Lonchura striata: one gene and its partner. The protein of the gene in region 1 purifies or fractionates together with the protein of each later gene. This does not show direct contact. Links are inferred from orthologs where the notes say so. Each region holds a gene or a part of one and is shown in the gene's direction. Other genes may lie near its edges.

Region 1 (9,687 bases):
TTGTGGAAAGCAGTATTGTTGGACAATAATCATCATCTGGCTATCTATCATTAATATGTATGAATTAAATTATTTTAAAGACTTGGCCAGCTTTGAATAAATAGTAATCCCATCTATATTTGACTTTTAGACAATTTCTACTTTTGATACTTTGGCACAATCATGTAATATTTGGGTTGTAGAAACTTCAAAAGATTATTTTAAATAATGCAATTATAGTTTTTTCAGAAAGAGTAAGCTTGTATTTTATTTTAGGAAAGATTGGTTTATTGGTAAAACAGTGAAATGTAAGCTTGGGCTTTAATTTGTTCAGTCATTTAAATTTCAAAGGCAATGAGTAAGAATGAAATATTTTTTTCCTTATTTGGGATGTCATTTACTGAAATATATTATTAGAAATATATGTGACACCAAATTTGTAGATCATGAAACTGTTATGAGATACATTCAGCAGTTGAAATTGTTCCTATGTATATCCTGCCTATATTAGTTCATGGATGACTATTTGTAAAGGAGTGGAGTGCCTTTTTAACCTATACATTATTCAGAAAGTGTTATCTATCTAAAATGACACTTTAGTCTCTCTGATACTTTTGCCACTGTGTAGCAGGTGCAATTTGAGACCCACACAGAGCACCTCTCCATGCTGGCAGCCTGTCCCAGAGCACACCAGGACTGAAGCACTGACTTATTGCTGTGTGCTTTGTACCATCCCACCAATCCAACCTCATTCACCACACATCCTGATGTGCAAAAGATGCAATTTCACTGTTTCTCTCTGTGGTTAGTTTTATGTTTAAAAAAACCCCTCAAAATGCTGCTGCTACTGTTACTAGAAATAGCACTTTACTGTGCTTCTTTGTATCTCAGAATACCTAAGAAGTTTAAAAGTTGCTACTTTTGTGTCTCTTTTCACAGACGGGGAAGGTGGGGCAGATGTTGACCTGAGGTCTGGAGCACACCTTCCCAGCAGGGTACCAGGAGAGAAGACCTCCCATCTTCACTTTTACTCCTGAGGGATGAGGGGCAGACCTGTACCGTGGTCACAAGCACAGAGCAAGTTTGTGTAGATGTTCCAGACCTTCAGAAACACACACCTGACCTTCAAGAGCTGCTGCAGATTTGTTCAGTGCTCACACAGTGTGTAGCACAGTTCTGCTGTGCCTCCTGGGTGCTGCTGCAGTACAGCCACCTTTCCTTTTGTTTGGGCACCTTTATCAGTACAGCTGAAGGGAACACTGTGTGGACTGTGAATTCCTCTCCAAGATCATATAAATACTTGGACGGCACATGCTGTTTCTCTAGTATTAATCTAACTAGCTAGAGCTGGTTTGCATACATCTGCAGCTACAGCAGAAGTTTAATGATAAATACGCCCAAATGTAGCTATGCAAATAGTGGCAAATTCTGAATAAATGCATGAAATGCATTATAGTAGTCAAAAGTTCTTCTGTTTTTCCTTCAATAAAAAAAACAAAACAAAGGATGATTTTTCCTTTATGGCACAGGCCAGGTTCTCTTTTGTAATCTTCAGAATTTCATACATCTTATGAGTATAAAAGGATCATAAAACCTGTGGTAAACATTCAAGAATTATTTTACTATGGTCTGAATTAGCCTTCTACCTATCAGAGGTGCAGAGTGGTTGTTCCATATTGCGCCCATACATAAATGATTACTGGACAACAAATATCCACAATAACAGAGCATGTTATGTAAAAAATGAACAGACAAAACCACACAAACAAACAAGCAAACTCATATGCCCTTCATCATAATGCAGAAGGTACTAAAAACTGCAATTGCAAGTGGTAGTAATCCCAGCCATGTATAAATCCCAGAAGTGGGAATCATTCTTGGAAATGATGCCACCCTAAAGAGAGAGCATAGAGGCTAATCTTATTTAAAGGATAAGATACTCTCTCCTTGGTAGTGGCCTTACTTGTACCTAAAATAATTAATATTTTACTTAAAATCCAACAAAATTGGCTTCTGCCCAGTCCAGAGGGGATGGCTACTGTTCTCAAGGTCAACTCTGGAGGGGTTCACCAGGCCAATACCTCTGTTCCCCAATAACTGTCTACCTCCATGAATGGTTATGGAAGTATCTTTTTATGGTTGCCAAGAAGAAAGATATGGGAAGGAGTAGGGCAATTCTAAGGGCTGGAGTTTGACTGCATGAATCTGCTTCACCTGCTGTGCTATCTCCAGTTGATAGATGGAAACAAGTACTTACCCAAGAAATGGGAGAAAGGAGCATCCCTGGGCTTATAACCATACAGACTGTTGATAATGCTAAACTCCCTCAAAATGGCAGTGTTTTATTTCTTACCAGGGCAGACTGGTGCATCCCAAGCAAGCCAAGCATCTAACTGTGGGTGACTAACTACAGGTGTAATGAATTGAAAGTCATATGGCTAAGCTAAGTGCAAGCTTTTCAAAGTGTATTTTCTTTAAAATGAGGTTTAGCAAATGAACAAAATGTTCCCAGAACTGCTGAATTTGTTTTCTTAGCATTTTAGTAACTGTTTGACCTGACCATTTCAAATTACCACTTGAAAGAAATGGACATATTCAGGAGGGCAGATACCCTGTCTTTCTAAGGCAAAATACTTCTATAAAATAACATAGCTATTACTTCTAGCTATCCAAAAAAGATATTATGCTGAGCTGTCATATTTTGTGTTGCAGCGTTTTCATACTGTTGAAATAGCAACATTATATGAACTGCATGTGTATAGTTAACTCTTGGTTTCCTGGTGTAAGATGGGTAGGAAACCTGTGTAATGTATTACCATGACCAGAAAAACACTCCCCCTCAAAACAAACAAACAAACAAAAAAACCACCAACCAACCCAATCCATTGTAAATAAGGGTAAAGCTAGATAATATATCCTGAAGAGTAACCAATAAGCAAAATGAATGGCATGTCCTGGTATATATGTGTATTTAAAATCATACTGATTTTTTGTTGAAGATGAAAAACCGGAAGGCAGTAAGACTAAGAGAAAATGTAAGTTGCAAAAGCATTTGACACTGTAAATTATGTTTTGTTGAATACTTGCAGTGAAAAATGGGGGTTTCTGGAGATAATTGCATGTTTTCTCAAGTAATAACTGTCCTTACTCTGAATCTTGATGATTATTTACTGATTTATTGTTTATTTTTTTCTATTCAGAAGTAACTAGACTGATTTCAGCAAGAGAAAAAAAAATGGCATAAAGGACATGCTAGTATCCACCATGGAGGATATGAATAATCAGAAGTATTTGCTTTATACAAATATGTTGCTTACAGACACAAGAAAAGGTGTTAACACAACACATCCTTAAATATTATTGAGAAGTTGTTGAGTATATTTGTACATAGTTCTCTATGTACAGTTCTCTTCTTTCATTCATTCCCATTTCTAACAAGTCACGTAATGTGTTATAGGCCTTTGACACAGATCTATAACCATCGAGATTTGTGACACTGATCAGAATACAATGAGAGCCCTGAAATCCCATTCTCTGAAGAGGAATATCCCTATGAATCACAGGTATTGTGTTACCAGACAGCACAGCAAAAAATTAACCAGAGCAAAACACTCGACTTGATGCTGTTACAGCTAATAGGTCTGAAATGAAAGATAATTGCATATTAAAATAGAGTGGGTAGCTCTGTTTTGATGTAGAGATATAAAGATGTCAGGCAAGCTAGGCTGCAGCAGCAGGGAATGGGTGCCCTGAAGTGATTGAGGAGTGAAGCCCAAGAGAGCATTCCTCACATTCCTGTGGCACTCCTGCTATACATATGCCCCCCAAAAAAAGGGCATTCCAGCACTCCGGATTGGTAAACTGAGCTGCAGAAAAGCTGGCACTTTTCTATAGCTGCAGGCTTGATTAATTTGAAGGAATTATTATCATCACTGGATGATGAACACGAGGCATATTTAAACTGTTATTTTTTAGGGCACAGGACATGACATTTTCAATCTGTTACTAAAAAAAAAAAAAAAAAAAATTAAAATCCCCCATAAGGACTTCTAGTAAGCACCGATAAGCAAGATATAGAGAATGTGGAGCACTCCCTAGTATTTTCCAATGATCTGCCCAGAATAATTGGTATTACTGCAAAAATATTTTGCTGACACATATGAGTAGGATTAGCCCAAAGAGCTATCTTTGTTAATGAGCCGTATCTAGAAATTGAGTAGGTTTAGTAGATTCCTGTCTGAAGACACAGCATTTTTGAGAGCCACTTGTGTCTAAAAGCGTAACATTTTTTTCTCCTGGGACTAGCAGTGTATGTTTGGTAAGGAAAAGATGGTTATCTCTGGGAATTTTCACAAATACAAACATGAAATAAAGATGACACTACCTTACTTGGAATTGAAATGTGACTGCTAGTGACTGGGAATTAAAGAGATTTATTAGTGTTGACATTATTTACATTGTGTGATCCGTATCAGCGAAGGGTACACATCACTTGTGAAAGCAAATACATTAATAGTATTACCCCGCCGCTAATGGCACGCTAATAATACTTCCATGGTTGGCGTTTGTCAGGCTGCTGCTGAGACGGGCTCGGTGTCGCGGTAAACAAAGAAAATCAGCCATGTTGCGAGATCCTTTATTCTTTAAAAACTTAAGTTCACGTGAGAAGAATCCGCCGCTAGATAACCCCCAGAACAGTGATAAATTAACGATTTCACACCCCTCCCTTCCCCGTTTTTGCCCCACATAGCAATGACAGAGGGGACAGCCGGCTGATACGGATTACTTTTGAGAAGCGTGACAACAGGTGGCCTCCCCGAAGTCACTAGATTCGGCAGACCAAGTCTTTATCAAGTCTTTATTTTTTTTTTTTTTTTTTGGCGTCCAGGTTGCCCATCACCAGTATCCGTGCACAGGGAGCACCGCCGAAGCTGCGATGATGCGCGTCCCTCGGGACCATGGCGGCGGCCGCTCAGACTTCTTTTTTGTGGTTAAACCTGGCCAGGATGTGTTCCCAGGGGGAGGATGCTGAGGCACCGTAGCCGGAGGGGACCCTGCCGGCGGCGACCCCCGGCGACCCGCCCCCCCCCTCCTCCTCCGTCCCGCCTCGGCCCGCCCCCCGCCGCTCCGCCTCCCCGAGCCGGCAACTTCCCCGTCGCCGAGGCGGGCGCGGAGTCCCCCATCAGCCCGGATGGGAGGAGGAGGAAGAGGAGGGAGGAGGCGACGAGGACGGTGCCCGAGGGGATGCGGCGGAGCGGGCCGGCGGGAGGCGTAGAGCCGGCTCGGGAGGGAGCGCCGAGCCCTGGTCGCCGCCGCTGCCCCCGGCGGGGCTCGGCCGCCGCCGGCAGCTCCGGGCGGCGGCGCTGCTGAGCCCGCGGTGCCTGCGCGCCGCCGCTCCCCGCTCCTCGCCCGCTCCGGCCGCGCAGCGCCAGGCCGCGGCCGCCCTCCCCCAGCGCCTCCCGGGCGGCGGCGGGAGGCGGCAGGGGCGCGATGGCGTCCTACGTGGATAACAGCTTCCGCCAGGCGGTGATGAAGAACCCGGCGGAGCGCAGCCCCCAGGTAAGCGCGCCGTGCCCCGCGGCTCCCGCGGGCGGAGGGGCCGCCCCGCTGCCCCCGCCCGCCCCGCGCAGCCCCGGCCGGGGCGGTCGGAGCCCCACGGCCCCGCTTCGGGCGGCGCGGCCACGGCTGACCCCGCTCCCAGCCCCCGCCGAACTCCCCAGCGCCGAATTCCCGGTCGGCAGCTCCCGGGAAGGGAAGGCGCGCATTAACGCGACAACTTTCCTCCTACTCCCTAATTTTGGGGGAAGGAGAGGGAGAAACGCCAGCTGGGTTTGTTTTGAAGGTTGCTTCCGGTGAAAAGAAAATGAACTTAGAGTACAATTTTTCGGTGATGTGGTTTTCCTTTTTTCCTTTCTTCTCTCTCTCTCTCTCTCTCTCTTTTTTTTTTTTTTTCCCTCTGTGTGTCAGTGTGTGTGTTTTGTTATTGCCCCGGAGTACGGGTGGCTCAGGATTTGAATTCAATCCCTACTTTTACATAGCTGGCTGGAGCTGGCAGTGCTGTTTCATAATGTAGGGGCTGAGGTCAGTGGTATTCTTGGCAAGTCCTTGCTCTCCAAAGTAGGGTGAAATCCTTACACAATGGCACCAGGCAGGAATTTTTTAGATACCTGCGCCGCGATCCTGGAGCCCCCTTTATCAGAGGAGTGTGTGAGTCGAAGCTGTTTGTAAGCGTAGTTGCGCTTAGAGAGGCTGAGAAAGGTTAAGCTGGGGACTGGAGTGCGTACGGAAACATTTTGACTTAACATGACCTGAAAAACAACTAAACTGAATGAGTTCCTTCTGCTCCCGAACGGTTGCTGCAGTGGCTGTTGCTGCCAACTGTCTAAAGACTAATAAGCTTTACACTGATCCCCACATCAAGCTGCGGTTCAATAGCTAATGATACAAGGAGTTACTTTGCTTGGAGTTGTAATGCCATCTGTCCTATTTTCTAAAGGCTTGTCCTGCTCTCTGAGCAGTCCCTGTATTCGGGTTTTGGGGAAGAGATGCTGTTACTGATTGTTTTGGCAGGCGTCTGACTGGCTGGTGATGATTTCAAATTGGGGCAAAGAGGAAACCTTGACTTCTGCTCAGCACCCATAAGTCATTCCTCCTACTATAGATACGTCATTGTGGTAATGTTATTTTTATCCCTGTACTCATGGAATCTGTGTGAGAAAATAAAACTTCTCATGGAAAAACATACTGACTGCATAGGCATCGTATGTGGCATGCCTTTTTGGCAACTCTGTTTTTTTCTTCTTTTTTTAAAAAAAAAAAGAAAAGGAAGCTGCTTCTGGAACATGTTTTTGTGGTGCTAAACTTGTTTCTCTGTCCTTGTTTGACCTTTTCCAAATGTCTGTTTGCCTTGAGTGCTGGACCCAGCCCTTCAGCGTGTTGTGAAAGCTGAAGGAGGCTGAGTGCTCCCTCCTGGAGAAGACACTCTCTGCAAACTCGCAGCGAGGTCCCTTGAATTGGTAGAGGCATAGATTCCAGCTGGGGGGAGCCTAGCAGCAGTGTCCAGCCTCAGGACATGGTTATGGAAGCACGGTGGGGTGCTCAGGAGGAGAGATGCAGGCAGATGCTCAAAAACCACTAGGTCAGGCTGTGGGGCCACCAGGCTGGGCTTGGGGGATGATGCTTTCCCTGTGGTGTGAACTGTTAAACTTTCTCATGTCCTTGCCAGTTGGCCTTGCTGTCTAGAAGGGATAATAAGGAAACACAGAAAGGTAGAGAGTAAGAAATGACGCAGTGAAGAATCCAGCCTGAATGCAGGGATAAAGCCCAGTGAAGGGCACAGAGCAGAGAGCTAAATTGGGAACACCAGGGCTGCGTTAGTGCTGGAAAACTTCCCCAGTCAGCACGCTGGCAGCCTGCTGTGGCAATCACCACAGGAAAAGAAACCCACCCTTAAATCCATGAAACTGACACTGACCCAAAATAATCCACAAATAAGACCAAGTATGTGGGAAATCTAATGCATTGTTAGCGCTGGAAATACTTGAAACTGGTGGTGCCCTCCTGTTGCTGCTGGAGAGATTGGGCTTGCAGCAGAAAACCTGGTGTTTTTGTAAATGGCTCGTGTTGAATTATGTGTGTTAATTTTCTACTGATGGTTCTCTGTTAAGTAAGTTTGATTTTATTTTACAACTGTATTGCAATTTGAAAGAAATATGTTTATGCACTTCATCTTTCATCATTACATGAAAAGGAAAAAATATATAGAAATGTACAAAGACCTTGTTTTTCCTTCTTCCCTTCAAGTAACTTATTGTCTCTTTACTTGTCTTTTCCTGTCCTTGCTATGCTATCTCTAAAAGAGAGCTACTTAATTTTGGTTTTTGGAAAGTCATGAGGGTTTTTTAAAGTTGAGAGAGGGTTGGAAAGAGAAAATATATTTATCATATTCATGTCAGTGCAGGAAATAGCAAGGGAAGTATGTTAGTAGCATATTTGCTTCTTTCTTATGTTAGCAAACTCTTTGGGGCTCAGCTTCTCCCAAATAATGATGAGGTAAATATCTGTTTGACATTTCTATTCACCCTGGACTGTCAGGGTGCAAATTTGGCACCATGCCTTCACTGCAGGCTCAGAGGACAGGAGTGACAGAATGATAGCCAGTATGTACAACTTAGAGAAGTAGGTCTGATAAACATTGTTGGGGAAAGCAAACTTAACTTGGCATGAACATTTATAGTGCAAAAATCTCCTGGTAATTTTGGATTGAACTGATTTTTTTTTTCCTTGAGGTAAACAGTTTATTCTGCAACTGCTTTTGTAAATTTATAACTTTATATCTCTTTGGTATATCCTCCTTTACAGAGTGTTCCTGACTTTTGTGAATCACAACTCGGTATTCTGTTGGCTAAAGAAAATGAGAAATAAAAGAAAAGGATTTATACGTGGCCTGTACTTTAACATGCCTGTTGTGTAACTCTTCTCTTTAATTGATGTATTAAACTATTCATTTTCTCTTTGAAGACATGAACTAGGAAGTTAATTTAACTACTTTGGGGAATCTAGCTTTTAAATGTTCATAAATTACAAATGGTTTTATGCCCTTAAGCTGTGAGTAATAGTGATCTAGTTTTTTTCTCTCCTAACATCCTCTCATATGGACTGTTATAGCTTTGATTCTTTATAAAAATTCTTTTTGGCATCATAGGCCATTTTAGAAAGCATGCAGTTTTATATTGTTGTAGCTTGGCTTGAAAAAATAGGGCTGCTTTTGTTTTCAAACAAGAGAAACTGAGCCCTAATCTTTCTTTATCCTAACAACTCATTTGCATGGCATGGTATATGAATAGCTGGTTGCTTCAGAAACTCTGCATACTGTTCACTGTTTTCATGCCATGTGGTGACGTCTGTAGGAAGAAATTTTTTGAGTGTGTGCCTTATACATGTTAGATGCCCAAGGTTTGCTTCTGGGAACTGCCAGTGTGGTACACCAGGGCAGTTCAACACAGCAGTAATGGAGAGCAGCGATGCGACAGCATCGCACCAGATCTTCAGGGTGGAGGGGAGAACTGTACAGTAGCCCTTAGTTTGATACTTATGCGTCATTTAATGGCAGAAGGCATCTAAACAGGATGCTGTTGTAAAGCAGATACTCCTTTCTTGAACACTTGAGAGGAAAAATGGTTTAATTATAGGATGTACCTATGCTTTTTCCAAATAAACTTTCGGCTTGTTTCCCAGATGTGTTATTTTTATACTTGTAACCAGTGATAACATGATTGTGTGCAATCTTCAGATAAGCCAGAAATGAACATTTCCTTCTTGCTACAGTGATCTCTTAAACTACACAGCCTTGTATTTATTTTTTAATAGGATCAGCGATACTAAGCGTTTTATATGTGAGTCTAGCAAAAGAATATTTAGTCTTTAAATTTGGCCTGATCGTGTGTCTGTATATCAAATACATTAGAAGACTAAAATGATCTTTTTCAAAAGAGTTTATTTGGGATTTCTTTCCTTTGAAAAATGAAAATATGTTGAAGCTTGAGTTGTGCTTTCACATTTTCTTCACTGTCAGCATTCTACTGTGTTGCCATCTTTTTGAGGTGAGCATTTACAGAGGAGGATAACCCCTGTAATCAGGCTGCTAACAGCAGTATAATGCTGAGAACTGATTCTGTTGCTAAACTCTCCTGCTGGTTCTTGGTAGCC
Region 2 (10,432 bases), on another chromosome or scaffold:
GCTACCTTTTTATTTCTTTTAATCTTGCTGAGGGTACTTGGAAAAACTTTTTGTGAGGATGAAATCAATTCTCTATTACAGAAATCTTTCCTCAACTCGGTGTTTTTATGAGGGAAAAGGTATTTTTGCTGTTTATACAGAATTGCTGTTGATATTCTGTGTATTGATTTTTTATTTTTGAGAAAAACAAACCCCTTCAAAGTGGAGCTGGTGGACAAGATACTGCACTGATGTGCCAGTTAGTTTCGGGAAGCTGAGCCTTTGTGGCTAGTTTTATTTTCAAACCAAATCACAAGATTGACAACTCAATTGTTTGAACCAGACTTTGCTACGGCTAGAGATGGGTTATTCCCAGCTTTTTCTTCCTGATCTTTTCCCACTTTTAAGCCATTAGACTTTAATACACATCCACCACAAGGGACTATGAACTTATTCAGCATGCAGCACATTTGAAAAGTGCAGACTTTGCCTGTTTATGGCACTGGAGAGACTTAAAGCAGAAATCTTTCCTGATACAGCTTTAGTTTTCAGGATTTTTAGGGGGAATGAATAGCAAGGGTTGTGTTCAAAATACATAGAGAAAATAGAAAGGTAAGGACTGGAGAGGGGAGGCAAAAGGCGAAGGACAGGGAACAGCATCTCCATAAGCCTCAGCAGAGCAGGGGTGGAGTTTAAGGATGCAGTGAGGCTCTTCTGTATCTGCAGAGAGAACAAGGGCAGTAAGAAAGGGGCAGAATGAGACTATTGAGCTGAAGCAAGTTTGGGTGAGTGTTGGTGCCTTGGGCAGTTGCACTGAGCTCTTGCATTACAAATCAGAGGTGAGCCCTTTTTCTTTTTCAAGCAGCAGAAGTGGAAAAGTGGAGGTTTATCAGCTGAGACAGGTGAATTGGGATAGTTTATCTTAGCAGGACACAGCTAGTGTCTACTGAGAAGTCTTTGGTGATAGTGTCTACTGAAGAGTCTTATTTAATGTGGAAACATTAAAATAGCAAAAAAAAAAAAAAAAAAAAAAATTCCTGGGGAAGAATGTGACTTAAGACCCAATATCTACCAGACAAGGAGGAGGAATTTGCTTCTTCTGTAGCTTGATCATGGTCAGGAAAGACTAGAAAGAAAATTTTTTTTTTTTTCTTTTCTTTTTGGAAATATTCCTGTGGGTATCAGAGACAACCACTCCAATAAAATCTGTCCCAAATGAACACTGTATTGACATTTCCTTCAAGTTTCTTTCAGAAAGTTGAAACATATGGCAGGCTTAGCTTCCCCTGAAAAGCCAATCTGATCCCTTCTCTAACCAAGAGGCTTTGCCTGCTCTGTGCCTGACTTCTTCAGATCTTTTCATGCCTGGCTCCCTCTATGCCAAAAAGCTCCACACACAACAATCCTACCCTGGAACAGAACAGCTTCTGCAGGGAAGATGTGCCTGAATGAAACAAATAAACCTGGGAGTGCTAGTGCTAATTAAAGTTAATGAAATCTACAATTTGTGATTGATTTTCTAGAATCTTGCTTTTGTAAAATGACTGGGCCCCCTGAGTCTGGTATCCTCACTCCCAGGTGGTCACTCTGACCCTTTGCTTCCACCCAATAAGTTCAACCACATCCCAACATACCCAGCCTATTCTGTGTTATTTAAGCCATAGGATATGACAGAGCATGTTTTATGGAGCCATTAATTTATTCTGTGGGTGACATTAACCACCCAAGAAGTATATTAATGGTCCTATAAAATATACCCCAGAGTGTCTTAATATGGTTATGAGATTGATCTTCAGCTTTATATTCCACTATGTGATATTATTGAAATAAATTGTAGAGGAAGGTGACATGAAGTCCCACTAAGGGGTGAATTTCCTTTTTCTTCCCAGCATCCTGTGGTCACATTCACTTTGAGCCAGCAGCCCTGGATGGAGCTCCAGCCACCCTGCTGCAAGAGGCTGGAAATGCCCTACACAGGGGCTGCATTTTGGGATGGACTTTGCTGGCCCAGCTCTGTCCCTGAGCAGGACCTGTCTGTGCTGGCTGGTCAGTAGCTTTCACCAGAGCTTCTCATGTCCTGACACTTGGAAGGTTTGCTGTAAATACAGGGTTTGTTCAGTACCTGGAGCTGGGTTATCTGCTGAAATGTTTGCCAGGGCCAGGACTCAAAGCAGCACCAGCCCATCTCCTCCTTGCTACCAGAGAGCAGCACCAGCCTGTTGAGAAAGCCTGGATGCTGCGAAGAAAATTCTCCTCCAGTAAAAGTTAAGTGGGATTAATATAAAAAAATTCTTGTTTGGGAAATAACCACAATACATGGCTTTTCTACTAACATATTCTGGTAGTGTGAGTGTGCCCACAGGAAACTTCAATCAATGTTTGAGAGACTGGATCTTGTTTAAAAACTTTCTCTTTTTTTTTTTTTTTTTTTTTTTTTCCAGGATTTATATGCTGAGGTCTTCAAAGCCTTGAGGCCCATGATATCAAAGGTTTGGGGTTTATCTGGAAATTAACAGTAATTCTGCTGTATTAAATAAGCTGTACTTTCATTTGTACTCTTAATCATTGTCATCTTTATGCTCTCTGGTGGGAGTACATGGCTGTGAACTGCCATAAACCCACAACATTCTCAGTGACTAGACATGGTTTTCCATTCCAAAAAAAGTCAAACTGTGGTTTCCTCAAGTTTCAGTAGGAAAGCTGAGAGAATGAGTTGATGCATGGGAGAGCTTTGACCCATTTTAGAATCCAGGACACAGCACGAAATTTCAGAGACGTTTGAGACCAAGACCATGGGTCAGTATCCTATTTGAAAGAACCATTTGAGCTGTTGTATGTTTGTAGCAGGGCCCAAAGCATGCAGAGCACCTGCTGAAGGAGGAAGAAAGCAGCAGCCTTCTCATCCTGACAAATTAGCAGCTGCCAATGCATGGGTTGGAGTGGCTGTAGAAAAAAGAGTAAGGGAATCAGGCTCTGGTTAAAGGCCTGAGCCCACCCAAGTCAGTTTTCACAGCGCTGTCCTGGGCTGTGGGCTGGTGAAGAGCATGCAGACCTGCATGAGATGAGGCTGGACCAGCTGCTGCAGGTGAAGTAGGATGGCTGCAGTGAGCCATTCTCAGATGAGGAGTGTGCCCTGAGCTTCTCCCTGCCCCATGTTCATGTTCAGCTGTTCCCCAGGTGGGTGTGTCTGAAGATTCCTTAATTACTCTTTGTGAAGTGCTTAGAGACCCTCACAAAAAGGAGAGTGTCATTATGAGAACTGCAGTTGTCAGAGATGAAGACAGTCTGTTAATCATTAAATCCATCCCCTGCAAAGCAGGACCACTGTCCCTGGGAGAGAGGCCAAGCTCTGCAATGAGAGGCAGTGCCAGGTTTGTATGCAGTAATCACCCAATTATCCATCAGCTGGTGTCAGGGACCCTTCTGGGCAGGAGCAGCCAGGCTCAGTTCTGTTAAAGGCTGACCAAGAGCTTCCTTTAATAGAGGTGGTTGGAGCAGCTGTGCCCTGAAATAATCTCCTTGCAGCAGTAAGGTGCAGTACAGTCACACAGCAATCAGGACAACAAAAAACCTTGGCTGTATTTGAGCTGATATAAGCAGTGCCAGCTTCCAGATTGACCACCTGGATGCAACAAGGTGATAAAATGGTAGAAAAGTGGTCCAGGATAAAAATTGAAGTGAAAATCTGAAAATCAAGATGAAGTTCTGGCTGAGAGTTGCCGGTTTTGTTAATTGTCAGCAAGAACAATTTTGGGAACACAGTGGCCCAGACATGGGTACAGTGTTAGGATTACAATGGGGACAGCTCACTTTCATTACAGTTGCAGTGTTTGTAAGCAAACTGAAAAGGGCCCTTGGAAGTCTGTCATCTCATAAATTTTACTATCAAAACTTGTTTTTCCAAACAGTCTTTTCCAAAAATTTTTCCATGAGGCATGAGTAGTTCCGTAAGATCTATTCAGGGCAACCACAGCTCATGTGATGTTCACATGGAACCCAGATGATTTTTAGCTTAGCAGGGCTGTCACATAAGACATCCTGCAAAATGATGATGAAAATACGTCACACCCAGCTCTGGGCTGTGAACAAGGGGCTCCCTGCACCATGAGCTCACGTGTGTGACACAACTATCACCCAGTGCACAGATGAAAGAGAAAGCCTTCCCCACAAGCTATGCTGCTGTTCTGTAGGGTCTACAGACCTCTGGAGCATTTCTTGCCCAGGGGATCCAGCCTGATGACCTATCCACTCTTTACTGGTGAAGGCACAGTAAAAAGCGTGCTGTCATCCTAAAAGTGACAAATGGGGCAGCTGGTTACTGAGCCAGCAAAAGCAGATGTGAGGCAGTTACTGCTGCTCAAACATAAGGGATCAGCACAGCTTTAAGGATGAAAACATATATGAAAGTTCCAAATGGAAAGAAACCTCTTGGAAGCAAGTGAGGGCTAGACACAGCAGGTACACTGAACTTCACGAGTCCACTTCTACCCGGGAAGGCAGGCTCTGCCTCTCGGTTGGAAGGACTTTCCTGAGCTCTGTAATCCCATCTGCTTCCCGTGGGCAGAGGTGCCTGAGGCACAGGGGATGGAGCGGGGTCACTGCTGTGCTGTGTGACACTGGCCGAGCCTTCCATTCCCGTGCCGGGATGTGGCTGCGCCACTCGGGCCGGGGACTGCGCTCCCGCGGCGGCAGAGCAGCGTCCGCAGCGATGGAGTTCTACAGGACAGCCAGATGAGGGATTGCAGCTGGGGAAAGGAGCATGGAATGCAGGAGGTGAGGGAAGCACAGGCGTCCCAGCTCCATCCGGGACAGGTGCGAGGGCAGGGAAAGAATCCCGGTCACCTCTGAGCTCTGTGCGCTGAGCCGGCTGATCAGCTGGGCCAGCATCAGACGATGTTAGGCTGAGCTGTTTCCCCACGCAGCGATGCTCCCCGAGCCTGCCGCCCCTCCCGCATCCCGGATCTCCGCGGGACACGCTCGGCTGGGGGGATGAGCGATGAAAGAGCGAGGCGGGCAGCAGTGAAAGTCTGCGGGCTGTGCTGTCTGAGCACACATCAGTGCAGCACAGGCAGCCAGACCAGACTCTTTGTTTCCCTGTGTCACTCCTCAGTCCCGATTAGCGGCAAAATAGGGCACGCACACGTCTGACAAGTGAATTCCGCGCTGGAAGGGGTTCGGTCATGCATAAGACTGCTGGAAATGAGGCCTGGCTTTCAGGTTTGGAAGCATGGAGCATGACCTGGAAGGGACAGCTGGTACGTGCACTCTTACTTTCCCGTTTTGAGTTTTGCACCAGTTCTGGGTAACTTTGAAGAGTTTTGGCGAAGGACAAACAAATGGATGCCCATCCCTTTCTCCAGCAGCCAGACCTCGCTATTAGTCTGTCCCAGCTTCTAAACAACGAGGACAGGACAATGTGAAAACATTATTAATGTCTCAAATTCGAGCACTCAATCAAAAACCGGAGTGCAGAACTAAGAGTAGGAGAGACTCACTCAGCCTCGCGCAAGCACTTTGATACCATTTTAATGATGGGCTTGTGCAAGTTTCTCCTCGGGATTTGTATTTGCGTCCTCTCCTGTAACAACCACCTGGAAAGCGCAGGTAAGAAGTGGTTTGCAACTGGGAAAATCCTAGAAATCCTCTCGGGAAAGCAAAGATCTGCCGTCCCCTGCAATATGAGCATCCCCGGGGGCGCGGGGCAGAGCACCCGCGCTCCGGCCCGGCTCGGAGAACGAGGATTCCAGGCGGGGGGCTCCCCCTCGGCGCGGCCCGAGGGGCCCGGCGGCCGCTTCCCCCCGCGGGGAAGTTGTGCGCGGGAGCGGGCGGAGCCGGGGCCGCCGGCCGGGCCGTGCCGGGGGCGGGGAGCGGGCGGGGGCCGGGCCGTGCCGGGGCGGGCCGTGCCAGGGCGCCTGCGCCGGCGGCGCGGAGCGCGGCGGAGCGGGACGGACCGAACTGGAACAAAACAAACGCCGCTTTGTATCGCCCCAAAGGCTCCGCGCCCCGCGCAGCGCCCGCGGAGAGGGGGCGGCAACACCGCGCGGCTGCCGGATTTGCTTTTTCGGCGCTTTTGAATAATTTTTAATTTTAATTTTTTTTTTTTCTTAATAAGAGGGGAGAAGGGACGGCGCGGAGGGGCGGGCGGGGGGCGGTGCGCGCCCTCCGCGGGCGCGGAGCCGTGCGGGCGGTGATGGCCTGAGCGGGCGGCGGGTCCGCGCCCCCTGCGCACCTGCCGAGCGCGCTCCGCGGGCGCGGAGGGACGCGCAGCGCCATGTCGCGGGTCGTGCAGAAGAAGAACCACTGGTCCAGCCGGGTGCGGCAGTGCGCGCTGACCCGCGGGCCCGGCGGGCAGCTGGGCTTCGCCCTGCTCGGCGGCGCGGAGCACGGCGAGTTCCCGTACGCGGGCGCGGCGGCGGGGGACGGCGAGGCGGCGCTGAGCGAGGGCGAGCTGCTGCTGGAGGTGCAGGGGGTCCGCGTGTCGGGGCTGCCGCGCTACGACGTGCTGGAAGTGATCCGGAGCTGCAAGGACCCCGTCGTGGTGAAAGCCGTCCGACAAGGTGCGAGGGGGACGAGGGGGGACCCGCGGCGCTGGGTGGCCGGGGGTGGCGAGCATCAGCCCCTCGGGGCGGACGGAGCCGCGGGTGCCGGTGCACCCACGCGTGTGCGCAGCTTCTGCGAGGGCACTGATGCACAGGCACCTCCTCGTCCGGAGCCGGCTGCAGCCGCCCCGCAGTCCCTGCCCTGCGCTAAGCGCAGCGAGCAATTGCGTGAGACTTTCCCAAAGGCGCCGCGGAGCTGCCGGCGCTCCCTGCGGGAACCCCGCGCTTGTCCGGGGGAGCTCGGTGTCCGGCTGACCCTTGGAGAGGCTGAGGGAGCTTCACTGCTGGGGGAATGGGGAGGGATCCCCTCCTCCAGCAGCTGAGCATCCTTTGGAGCTGCTGAGCTTGTTCCGAAAGTGCAGCGTGTGTTTGCCGGCTGCCAGCGTGGGAAGAAAAAGCTTGGACCCTCCTGCATCTTCCCTCTCTGGCTGAAAGGCTACTCGGATTTACCTTTCTTCCCCCTGGTTTACCCTAGGTGAGGGCACATCCGTGCTGCCAGCCCTGCAGCGCACAGGGGAAGGAACAGATAGGTAGCTCTCCTGTTTGGCTGAGGAAGAGGATAGGAAGAGTGCTCCCATGCTGGATTTAAAAGATGCCACTCCACATCCGTGTACACTCCACAGTCGCTCAACAGGTTAGCTAACAGGCCTGGCTAATGGGTTTGTGATTTCCAGGACAGGACTTCAATGTAGTGCCAAAAAGCTGTTGGTGCTGCGGCAGCCACCGAGGCTGGTTGGACCAGGAGGAGCAGGACTGCAGCTGGACAGCCGGAGCTGTGAGAGCTGCAGGAGCTCCCCGAGGTCAGCTCCAAGTGCAGGAAGGAAGGGAAGTTTTCTTCGTGTTGCCCGAGAGATTCCTTAGGGGAAAGTTTGTCATCCAGACGTGTGCATCCTAAAGGTGGGGGTTTCGCTCTGGCTTGTGGTGCGAGGGGTTTTTTTCCCTGTACTTCGTTCAACCCAGCTGGTAGCTGCAGACAGAATTTCTGGCCAGCTGGCAGGACTGTCACCTGAAGTCTTGTCCCTGGGCTCACGGGTGAGCTGAGATGAAGGGCTGCAGGCACTTGTTTCATCCCTGGAACCTCCGGAGCGAGCAGATGACAGCGATGGAGTCGGAGAGGAGCTGAGGCTGAGCACTGCCCTCCACCACCTGCCCGGAGCTGAGCCACCAAAGCACAGCGATTTGTTAGTCCCTTGCAGGACTCAGCAGCAACATTCCAGCAAACGCTGTCAAACTTCCAAAATACCCAGTTTTTCTTAAAAAAATGCCTGTTTTCCCTGCTGCCTTCACTCCACTGGGAAGTGGTGAGGGAAACTCAGCCTGCTGGTTTCCCTGCCCAAGCAGGAGGGGGAGAAAAGCATGAAGAAAAGTATGAGGAAATTAGGCAGAGGTTTTTTTACATACTGATTGTTTTAGCAGAAGTATTAAAGTACAGCTTGTGGTGTTGCAATGTGATCTGTGTTTGTGGAAGGAAGGTGTGTGTAAAACCCTTCCCAACCAAACAATTTGTGATCAAACTTTTTGCTGTTTTGGAAACATGAGTTAGTATAAATAAAACATGTCCTGGGAATAAACTGCACATGGCAGAACTTGGTGGTAAATGTGTCTCTGCTCCAGGATATGGTCAAAAGAACGGGCAGAGAGCTGAGTTTTAGTGTGTTGGTTGGGTTTACCTGGAAAGTGGGAGAAAAGGGTTCAAAAGGGTTGTAAGTCAGGGCAGGCACTTAAACCTTGGACTATTCCCATCTAGAGCTGAGAACCAAGCCCTTGGTTACTGTGGGATTGTAGTTTCTTTTTTTTTTTTTTTTCTTTCTCCATATTTTTAAGAAATAGTTTATTAGCCAAGAATGTGGAATATAAATAAATATTTGGTTTTTAAATCTCTAAACATTTTTGTGGTCTGGAAAACCTGTCAATGGTAGCCTGGCATCTGCACGCTGCTCTGTGCAAAGCAGGGATCTCCCTCATGTATCAGAATTATAAGCATAGAAAAGGAGAGTATTTTAATTAAAATTCATTACTTCTGTGTTGATTAAAAATCTGATTATGGCAATGGCAACTGTCAATCAACAGGAAAAGTGTGGCACTAGAGCAGACAGCCAAGGAGTGTGCAGATAAGATTGTAAACAAGTTTTTAACTATGATTTTCCTCCTCCGAGTTTGTAGTTTCTAACTGATTGGTGCTGAAGTGCTGGGGCAATATTAGCCTGGAAATGTATACATTTTATTGCCTGTCTGTTTTGTATGACATTTACAAGGCTGGAAAAACAGGAAATTTACTATAAGTCACTCCTTTGCAAGCATGAGCAGGAAAATAACGGTTCTGACCTTGCTGTTGGTGAAAGAGACTAGGATGGAAATGTAGGTTGAATAGGCTGTGCATGGACTTTATCATTAAACCAGAGTATGTAAAATTACAGGTTCACGTACAACATTTTCTTCTTGCTTTTGTGAGTGGTAAGTTTAAAAAATAAGTGCAAAAAGGAGGAACCTCTATGAAATCTCTTAATGGAAATACTGGTGTTTAATACTGGACATATGGGATTTCTTGGTCCTTTGCTTACCCTGGGAGGAAGAGTGAAGAAGGTTAAAGAACTTGAATGGAGCTTTCCCTTCCTTTTCCCCTTATGCTCCCTTTTTTGCTTTGACATTTGAGAATAAAGCTGTGCCATTATAGTTGCCTGTTTTGGGGCAGAGAGAGGAAGAATCTTGAATCTTGCTGCCATGTATCTTAGTAACTTTCAGAACTGTCAAATGTGTGAAAAAACTTCAGTTAACATGTAGTGCTTTTATGACTGACTGTTTCCATCTTACATATGTGTCTAAGTTCTGATGAAATTGGTGATTAACTTCTGTGGAGTTAATAAATGCATTTTTATTATTACTTGGTCAGAGAGTATGGAATTAATAGATTGAATTATAGGAGCAGTGGTCACATATTCTAGTGTAAAGCTGGCATTGCCTTAATGTAGTGATTTCCCAGCTGTACTGTGAATTTGTAGCTTCCTTGAATACATTTCACATTTGTCAAAATATCTCACTTTGATAAACTGATAATTGATTGCATTGGATAGATCAGTTGTAAAATCAGGCACACCATTTCTTCTCATGGATCTTGATTAACAGAGTCCAGCACAATAGAAGTTTGTTGTGCCATCCTCCAAAAGGGAAGAATTAAGACTGTACTTGTAAAAAAAGGACCATGTTTTATTTGAGGCAGGGGATCTGGATTTTCATTCTCCCTCGGTGAGAGATGGGCACATTCAGAGAGATTTCCAGTCTTTTTTAAGGCTCCTTGTTTCGATGACTTGTGCCAAACCACACCAAGCCAGATGCTTGGTATGGGAAACTGTCAGAGTTAATATGCTTGTAAATTAAATTGGTTTTTCAGTTCTCATTTCAATGCTTTGCTTCCCTAAAAAAGTCTCAGAATCTCAAGCTCCTAATGACCTATTGCTTTGAAGCCAGGAGGTGCAGAGAGCAGTTTATGCAATTAATAATTTTGATAGGACTTTGCAGCTGGGATGGTCCCACGGTAGGGAGGGATCGAGTGTGCTTGTGGGTTTTTTTTTGCCCTGTACAAGGCAGACAGGAGCAGGCGTGATCCCAAGCAGAAACAGTCACTGTTTACCCAGTGCTATCAGCTGCATTTGTTTCTTTTCAAACATTAACTTGACCCTAAGATAAATTCTGCAATACAGTGCAGTGACTCAATGCTTCAATGTCAGGCTGGCATCTGCTGTACATGAGATGTTAAACTCAGTTACATATATTAGTGTGGACAAAACCAGCTCCTTTCAAAAAGTTTGTGTGAGCTGGTATTTGAGTATATTCCTATTATTTTCCTGAGTGAGCTT

The links. The genes of interacting proteins can lie anywhere in the genome.
Region 2: the proteins of RAPGEF2 (region 1) and MAGI1 purify together in Homo sapiens (co-immunoprecipitation; 3 studies listed by BioGRID and IntAct, with this or other methods). This does not show direct contact. The link is inferred for Lonchura striata from reciprocal best matches to the Homo sapiens genes RAPGEF2 and MAGI1.

Annotation. Positions count from the first base shown.
Region 1 is NC_134606.1:40,591,995-40,601,681, reverse strand, and holds the start of RAPGEF2 (rap guanine nucleotide exchange factor 2), read left to right. Parts: upstream 1-5,397; 5' UTR 5,398-5,469; coding exon 5,470-5,538; intron 5,539-9,687. UniProt on the Homo sapiens protein: Functions as a guanine nucleotide exchange factor (GEF), which activates Rap and Ras family of small GTPases by exchanging bound GDP for free GTP in a cAMP-dependent manner.
Region 2 is NC_134614.1:18,542,079-18,552,510, reverse strand, and holds the start of MAGI1 (membrane-associated guanylate kinase, WW and PDZ domain-containing protein 1), read left to right. Parts: upstream 1-6,250; coding exon 6,251-6,536; intron 6,537-10,432. UniProt on the Homo sapiens protein: Plays a role in coupling actin fibers to cell junctions in endothelial cells, via its interaction with AMOTL2 and CDH5. May regulate acid-induced ASIC3 currents by modulating its expression at the cell surface.